Daphnia pulex: one gene and its partner. The protein of the gene in region 1 purifies or fractionates together with the protein of each later gene. This does not show direct contact. Links are inferred from orthologs where the notes say so. Each region holds a gene or a part of one and is shown on either strand. Other genes may lie near its edges. The genes, in order: toll-interacting protein B-like and cleavage stimulation factor subunit 1-like.

The links.
Region 2: the proteins of toll-interacting protein B-like (region 1) and cleavage stimulation factor subunit 1-like purify together in Homo sapiens (co-immunoprecipitation; 3 studies listed by BioGRID and IntAct, with this or other methods). This does not show direct contact. The link is inferred for Daphnia pulex from reciprocal best matches to the Homo sapiens genes TOLLIP and CSTF1.

The regions. Positions count from the first base shown.
Region 1 is NC_060026.1:14,642,055-14,646,286, reverse strand, and holds toll-interacting protein B-like, read left to right. Parts: upstream 1-1,462; 5' UTR 1,463-1,571; coding exon 1,572-1,640; intron 1,641-2,006; coding exon 2,007-2,189; intron 2,190-2,256; coding exon 2,257-2,390; intron 2,391-2,465; coding exon 2,466-2,667; intron 2,668-2,739; coding exon 2,740-2,994; intron 2,995-3,064; coding exon 3,065-3,190; 3' UTR 3,191-3,517; downstream 3,518-4,232. Other genes in the region: uncharacterized protein LOC124203962, read left to right, coding at 1-200, 286-665, 762-1,005, 1,074-1,175; uncharacterized protein LOC124203968, read right to left, coding at 3,819-3,914, 4,032-4,073, 4,138-4,173. UniProt on the Homo sapiens protein: Component of the signaling pathway of IL-1 and Toll-like receptors. Inhibits cell activation by microbial products. Recruits IRAK1 to the IL-1 receptor complex. Inhibits IRAK1 phosphorylation and kinase activity.
Region 2 is NC_060027.1:1,883,324-1,887,392, forward strand, and holds cleavage stimulation factor subunit 1-like, read left to right. Parts: upstream 1-1,425; 5' UTR 1,426-1,547; coding exon 1,548-1,630; intron 1,631-1,711; coding exon 1,712-1,839; intron 1,840-1,908; coding exon 1,909-2,114; intron 2,115-2,171; coding exon 2,172-2,399; intron 2,400-2,466; coding exon 2,467-2,627; intron 2,628-2,684; coding exon 2,685-2,835; intron 2,836-2,916; coding exon 2,917-3,010; intron 3,011-3,075; coding exon 3,076-3,207; intron 3,208-3,270; coding exon 3,271-3,380; 3' UTR 3,381-3,447; downstream 3,448-4,069. Other genes in the region: protein cueball-like, read right to left, coding at 58-282, 1,071-1,314; isopentenyl-diphosphate Delta-isomerase 1-like, read right to left, coding at 3,516-3,970, 4,027-4,069. UniProt on the Homo sapiens protein: One of the multiple factors required for polyadenylation and 3'-end cleavage of mammalian pre-mRNAs. May be responsible for the interaction of CSTF with other factors to form a stable complex on the pre-mRNA.

The DNA of each region.
Region 1 (4,232 bases):
GACATAAAACTACCTCCGAAGCTGAAATTTCCATGGATTCGTCGAGTACTGTGATAAAAAGAAGTCTTGAACAAAAGACTACTACTTCAGGCAACACCCACCTAGGATGTTGCGACGTAGAAGGCATTTCCGCTTCCAGTGTCAGTCAGTTTAATGTCGCGGTTGGCGGTACCACGCCAACACCTGTCGACGGTCCAATCGTAAGTTAACTTTATAATTCCTCTCCTAACTTGACATTGCGTTTAATTGTTATGCAACTATATCTTAATGTGTTTATTTTTTAAGGTGGGTGTCTTTGTGATGATTCCAAATTCCATAAAACTGCCGGGTGAAAATTGGTACTCGATGCGAGGTGCAGAACAGATCTTGTTTTGTTGCGAAGCTATAGTCAAAGAAGAAGTTGTGGTTATCCGGAAAGGTGTCAAAATTGACGTTAAGGCAAAATCGATTAGTTTTTTTGTTTATCAAGATGCGCTACCGCTCGACAAAGAACTTCCGTGTGGTTTGTATCGGAACTTTGAAACCGTCAACAGTCTCAACGAGACTCTAAAAATTTTTGACGCATTGCCGTTATGTACCGGAATTGACGATGTCCCGTGCCATTTCGTCAAGGATTGCTCGACGGATTTCGGAATCCTAAAAAATGGTTTTTGGCATTCCACCGCGTAAGTGTATCTATTATTCTAAAGACTATTTTATTATGTCCTCCAACTTCCTGGCACCGTTAAATTAATTATAATATTTTTTAAAACTTGATTCAGGTGTTCCGTATTTCCTGATTCTCGACAAGTTCAAGGATTATGCGGATCGTGTTTTTCCTTTAAACAAACTCTTCTTCTTCGTTACTTCCAACAAGGAGAAAATCCTTCAACGTCATTGGCGAAAAAGAAATATGTTGTTAACAAGTATTTGAGCAACGAGGAATTGGTGAAGTCGAAGCAGGAAACCCAAAAGGAAATTAGGATTTTGAAACAGAAATTGAGAAGAACGGAATCTCGATTAATGGTTCGACTCAATCAATAATCACTGGCATCACTTATTGGGGCATTAATGTAATAAATCAATTTTTTCAGGAAAAAGAAACTGAAGTTAGATCGATGCGAGAGAAAATCGTGCAAGTGCAAGGAGAAACAACTAACGCAGCAACGAATAAACGGGTAAAAACTAAAGACTAGATCTTCCTACTGAGATATGAAAATTCATGTTTGTGTACTTTGTCCTTGTGACTGGTCAATAACTAGTCAATGCATAAACTTTGATATCTGTTTGCTCGATCGTTAAGTCCGGCTTATCACTAAGAAGCTGAATAATTTTTTGTTGGATCTGAAAGAAATACAGACAATTTTTTCTTGTTTTTCCGGGGTTCATTTTTGATTTGAAAGATAGCATTAATGAAATGTGTTTGAATTGAGATAGGAGAAATCAGATCATTACGCCATCTGGCAATGACAATTTTTACTTACATGTACAGGCAGACAGTACTGACAAGTTGACGACTGCTGTGTACTGCTGTATCCGTGGAAGACAGTCTCTTGACACAAAAGTTTGGAAACGTAATTATTTTCTTGAAAATGGCAAGTGCTGGTTCTGGTGTTCCATCAGATTCTAATGCTGGACAAAGTAGATATCGTCAACGCACGGTAACCACAACTCATTTCTTTATTTAGGCCGTATAAAAGTATAGCACTGCATAGTCATTCACCTTGCGCAACTACGTTGATTAGTATACTTTCGTGTGAAATGACTCATCTCTATTGATTTCTTACCACAACCCACACAATTTCTTTTTCCAAGTACTGAATTATTTAACAATCAATCAGGGTTCAATGTAACATTTCATATCATTTTACACCTGTATTGGATGAATTGATCGAAAAGAAACTAATGCAAATTCTCAAAACACAATACTTTGACTGGCATTGTAGAGCTTCTTACAAGTTACAACAAAGCCTTAGTTTATTTCCTCATTGTTTACGATACCATATATTTTTTCCTCTTTACCAAAGGCTGTGCTGGGAAATCTACCTGATGATTTTCTAAGACCTGACAGTCTCCAGGGTAGTAATCCATCTCACCAAGAACGTATTGATAGAGAACTGGCTATCCAACTTCACCAGCAGCAGCGTGTTGCAAATATTCAGTATGTCAACCAAAGCTATGCCGGTCAACTAATCATCACCATTGTTGAGGTAAAATCAAATCATCTAAAGCCAAAATGAAGTCAACATTAAATTTCACGACATTTGATCATTTCAGGCTTCATTTGTTAAGAACTACGGAGTAACTCGAATGGATCCTTATGTCCGTGTTCGCATTGGCCACACAATCTACGAAACCCCTGCTTGTCCAAGCGGTGGCAGAACCCCTCGCTGGAATAAGCGCATCCAAAGGTATATAAACAATCTATAAAAACTTTATGCTGAGTCATTTTCATTACTAAAATGACGTATTTAATTTGCCAATAGTTATCTACCGACTGGAGTGAAAAGCATTAGTATTGAAGTCTACGACGAGTGCGCATTAACAATGGATGAACTGATTGCCTACGGCCAGATTCCTATTCCGGAAATTGTTTTTCGCGGAGAATCCGCCGACCAGTGGCTGCAATTAAGCGGCAAACAAGGCGAACATAAAGAAGGGTCTATTCACATGATTTTTACACTCCTGGTAAAAATTTCTTTTCATTTGCCCTTCAGTTATTTTTTGGGGTTTTGTGACGCGCGGCTTCTTTTCCTTTAGCCGATTGCCGCCCCACAGCTGATTGCACCGGGGACTATGGGATTCGCCATGGCTCCAGCGTACGGCGGTTATCCACTAGTGAATTCCACAGTTGTTCCGGTTGGGCAAACACCAATAGCAACTCCTATGATGGTCATGCCCGGCTATGCTCCTTCCTGTGTCCAAATGCCCATTTACAACACAGCCAATCCAGCTTTGGTGACTCCCCAAGGAAATCTTCCCGTCGCTTCCCGCCCGAAACCACTTACTCAAGAGGTAATTTACAATTTTTATTTTTTAATACTGAGATTGTACTGAAATTTCTTCATTAAACTGCGAATTGCAGGAAATTAAAGAAATTATGAGCATGTTCCCGACGCTTGACCCTCAAGTAGTTCAGAGCGTCATTGACGCATGTGATGGGCGTCGTGAAGCAATCGTCGATAGTCTTCTTCAGATTTCTGAACAGTAATTAATTTTTTTAGACTGCCGGGGACGAAGGTTAATTATTTTTGTTCAACATCGCTTATTCGTTACATTACTTTTAACATGGAATGAGTTCCTTATTACTATTCATAATATTTTTTTAAATTAACAAATAGCTGTTTGCAAAGGAAATTTCTATTTTCAACTTTTCACAGTGGCTAGTCATTTATCTGATTGAAAAGGCTATTCCAGTTAATTTTTGTGTATTATCACATGGTATTTCTTCCATGTCTAGATTTCTAAATTCCCCTAATATATCCTCACTGTGGCGTAAGTTTATGAAAAATACATGTTGGCTAACTTTCCCTTACAACCCAGAATTAATAAAGTTTTTTGCGTAGCTTGAGATTCGATATTTTGCAGCTGTAAAAGAGAAATCCAACTAAATTTCTTTTTCCCCTTTAGAAAGCGCAAGATTGTAAATTTTCGCAATGTGATGTATTATCCATTCAATTAACATTTTCAAGTAGATTTTTATTCAGTTTTACGCAATGCTTGTATGATTCCGGTATCGATACTACACCATCTTAAGGCTAAGTACAGTAGGTAGGAATGGGCTTAATGTAGTTTAAATGATATTATCAAGAGAAATAGTAGAGAGAATTTGACACATTCTAGTAGACTTCGCAATTCGCTGAAGAATACTGCGTACATACGGCATCACGAGTGTTCTCACTGTATTTGGAATCGTTGACTCCTAGGTTGGATCCCTATAATACAAGTATTATTGCCTTATTAATTGAACATAACTTTGAACTGTGTTTGCTAGTAGATGATGAAATATTGCGAAAGAGATTCAATTGAATAGGAAATGTCAGATTGCTTACATCCACAAGGTTTTTGATGTTACAGTAATTGGTTCCATAATCCTAAAAACACAACAGACGTAAATATCAGTTATTCTTTCAATTGAATCGAATATTTCCAACTTACCAGCACTGCGTACCACGTCTGGGATGTTGAAAAGCCCTGGGAAAATTCAAAGCATTCTCATGAAACGGATGAGTAATTTAACAAAATAATTTATC
Region 2 (4,069 bases), on another chromosome or scaffold:
CGTTCACAAACATTAGCATGTATGGACAGATATCAAATCGCAAAATAAAAATATTACTTTCCACGACATCATGGACAGAGCCTTGAGCCTTGATCCCATCGAATGTGACGCTAAACACGTGCCCTCGTCGATTACGCTTGTCTGAGAAGAAGAGTTTTTGTGAAGATGGATCGTAAGCCAGGGCGACCAGTACGGAAGCATTGTAGTTCTCCAATTTGAGTGGATTGCTTTGAGATCCATTGGTCAGGATTTCAATTTGATCGCCGACAGCAACAATTAAATCTGGAAATGGAAATAAGTGGTTAAGAGACCATTCCGGAACGAGTTATCCGACTCTTGTCTTGCGATCGATGGACTGGCAATCCGATATGCTCTTATAAAGTCTACGTGCTACAAGTTCTAGATGGGAGCGATACCAAAGTCACAGCTACAGAATGAGTCTACGTGACCGAATCGATGAAATGATAACGGATGTTTTAGGTTTCTTGCCGACATTTTGCGAAAAACAGAACACGTTATTAAACTCAAGAATCGGTTTAAATCCGACCGATATCAAAAAGGTAAACTAGTGGTTGTTTTGTTTTGTCTTGAATCCTAATGTTTCCACGTCGGAAATTCGTGGAACTAGTTAATATCTTCTACGCACGAAATTTTGCATTTTACTATTATTAACTTCCTGCAAATAGCAAGGTCGACTAATGACGTGCTCAAGGAGAAAATAGCAAAATATTGACAAACATGAATGCAGACAAAATAAGTTTCAAGGACCAACTACCGGCAGACGATATTTAGTCAATATCAGAAGTAACACGTTTCCTAAGGTATTCCCCGGATATCACGTGAGAATTGCATTTTTATTACAAGAGAAAGCTCGCTGGTTTGTTTTTATGATGTTGTCAATGGATTTTTATTTTCTTTTAAAGCCTGTGTGAGAGCAGAATTTTTTGTGTAGTCAGCTGTAGCAATAGTCATATTTCGATACCAGTGTCGTCTGCTACTACGGACTACGTGACTTGGCTCGGCATTTCCCATTTAATAATCGTATGGTAGGCAAAAATGTGTATATTTACCGTCGTAGGATTTGGTTGCGGCAGCAAGTGCGAAGAAAATCCACACTAATAAGGATCGTGAATTCATATCTCGATCCGTAGGCACAGAAGACAAATTTATAAAATACTCATTGATAAAAAGAAACGATCTTAGTTGAACAAATGATGAGTAATATTCTTTGTCTTCACCGGCCACCGAGACACCATGTACCGGGAAACCTGCCAAACCAACTAAATGTAGTCCGGCCGAAATTCTTGAGATCATGCGCGATGCAACCTTATTCCCTGATCTACTTTGTACTGCCGTGTCTCGTGGCTGGTGCAACACTAAACACTCTGGCGGCTAACAATGCAACTTCCGGCAATGCGCCATCTCGTTTGTTATCTTGAAATCGTATCCTACTTGTCGGCATTTTCTGTGTTTACACTGGTTCGAGAAAGACATAATCTTGTTCTTGTATTTTTCTCGTTCGATTTTGAATATTTAATTCACACAAAATGAAAGACTCCGAAATTTTGGAAGCGATGGAATCTAAAAATGCGATAAAGTTTAAAGAACAAATTTATCGACTCATTATCAGGTAGTGTAACATAGTTAAGTTTGTACTCGAGTCATCGTACGCGTGGTTATATTGTCTTGACGTGTTTTTCCCTTTATGTAGCCAATTATTTTATGATGGTTTCCAATCACTGGCTGTCAGTCTATCATCAGCAGTTCAAGCACATCCAACATGCCCCCCATCCGATCGACTCAATCATATTGTCTCGCTAGGACTTCAGCATGAACACAGTAACTCGATATTCAATGATAGGAAATACAATTTTATAACCATGTTTAATCTTTGGTAATATTTTTCAGCATTGAAGAAACCATTAAATAAAGTGGAGATGCTTTTGGGTCCAGGACTGGATTTGGAATATGAAACTGATGTTCAAACCTCAGCTCCAGAACCAGCACTTTATGAAACTGCATATGTAACATCCCACAAAGCGCAATGTAGATCTGGGGCTTTCAGCCCTGATGGTCAGTTAGTTGCCACTGGAAGTGTTGATGCATCCATCAAGGTGACATGAGCAACACCTTTCTACAATTTCATTACCTAATAACAAGTTCAATTGTAGATCCTTGATGTTGATCGAATGTTGGCTAAATCATCCCCAGATGGAGAAATGGCAACTGATCAGCAAGGCCATCCTGTTATCAGAACTTTATATGACCACGTAGAAGAAGTGACCTGTCTGGAATTCCATCCTCGTGACGCCATTCTCGCATCTGGATCTCGCGATTGCACTGTTAAATTATTTGACTTCAGTAAAGCAGCGGCAAAGAAAGCTTTCAAAACACTATCAGTAACAAAAAAGCTTTTCTCGTGGCCCTTACAGTTCCTATTGAATTTTTATATGATTTGTTTAATAGGATTCAGATCAAATTCGTTGCATGGCTTTCCATCCTACCGGAGACTATTTGGTTGTTGGTACAAATCAGCCCGTTGTACGTCTGTATGACACCAACACCGCTCAATGCTACGTCTGTTCATTTCCGTCTCAGTATCACACCAACGCTATTACCTCACTTAAGTATTTATTAATTGGAAGAAAGCATTTGTTAAACAAATTATAATGTGTTTATCGTAGGTATTCTTTTGATGGCAAACTTTATGTATCCGGTTCTCGAGATGGTTCCATAAAACTCTGGGACGGAGTGTCTAACAAGTGTGTCGGTACCATTAGCCAAGCCCACGACGGTGCGGAAGTTGGATCTGTTACATTTTCTCGCAGTGGCAAAGTATTTACACTGTCGTTTCTTACCCATATTTATAACTGGTTTTAACTGTATGTCAATGTTTTTTTTTCTCTAATTAATCAGTATGTTCTTTCATCTGGCACGGATTCATCTGTTAAACTTTGGGAGCTCTCTTCACTACGCTGCATTATAGCCTACACTGGAGCTGGCACAATGGGTAAGATAATTATTACAAGTATGAGGCTTATATTCAATAATCAAACGTAATTATGGTTTATGAAGGCAAACAAGAGCACCGTGCTCAAGCTCTATTTAACCATTCGGAAGATTTTGTCATGTTCCCCGACGAGGCAACAACATCCTTGTGTTGTTGGGATGCTCGGACAGCTCAACGCAAACAGTTGTTGTCGCTTGGTAAGGAGGAAAAAATTCAATGGATAAAATAATTCATTTAATATCTTGTTGATATTTTTTTAGGTCACAATGGTGCGGTCCGTTACATTATCCATGCGCCTAGTACGGCGGCTTTTCTCACCTGCTCAGACGATTACCGCGCCAGGTTTTGGTACCGTCGCAACCCACATTAGATTAAGCTGTCAAATTGTACATGAATAATTGAATAAATGAGAAAAGCTACACTTTCATCTGAATAAATAATTTTGTTTCTTGTTTGGATTGAAACCGTATAGTTTCTACAAATGACGTCATTAACGTCAGTGCATTTAGAGGCTATGTATAACGGGGTCATACTCTATTCTTTCGAGATTATCTAATTGGTTCCACCATACTTTAAGATGGCTGTTGAGAATAAGTTTGAACCACGGTGTAAAGGGGATGTTATTCTTTTCGAGGTAGCCTTGAAATTCTTGAAAGCCGGATAGGGAGACGAAAACAACGCGGCTCACTTCGTTCGGGTTGGGTTTTACGGGAACGTCTTTCCTCAAAAACAGGATATAATCCACTTCATGTTCACCCCATTTGGCATCAGAAGGTGCACCATAAATGATTCTGGTGAGAATTTTAAAATCAGACAGCTCAATACTATCTGGACTGATGCCCAGTTCAATTTCAAGCCTTCTTCTAGCAGCTCTTCTGATCCCTACATGGTGAGCTTCTTCAGCTTCATCAGGTGTTGTATTATGTAACGGATGACTGCAACAGGAATTTGTATAATAACCTATTACAAATAACACATTTACTAGACTATAGTTACTTTGCTGTAGTCATACAAACCAGGAAAAGTAATTTTGTGATTGGATCTCTGTTGCATCAGTAG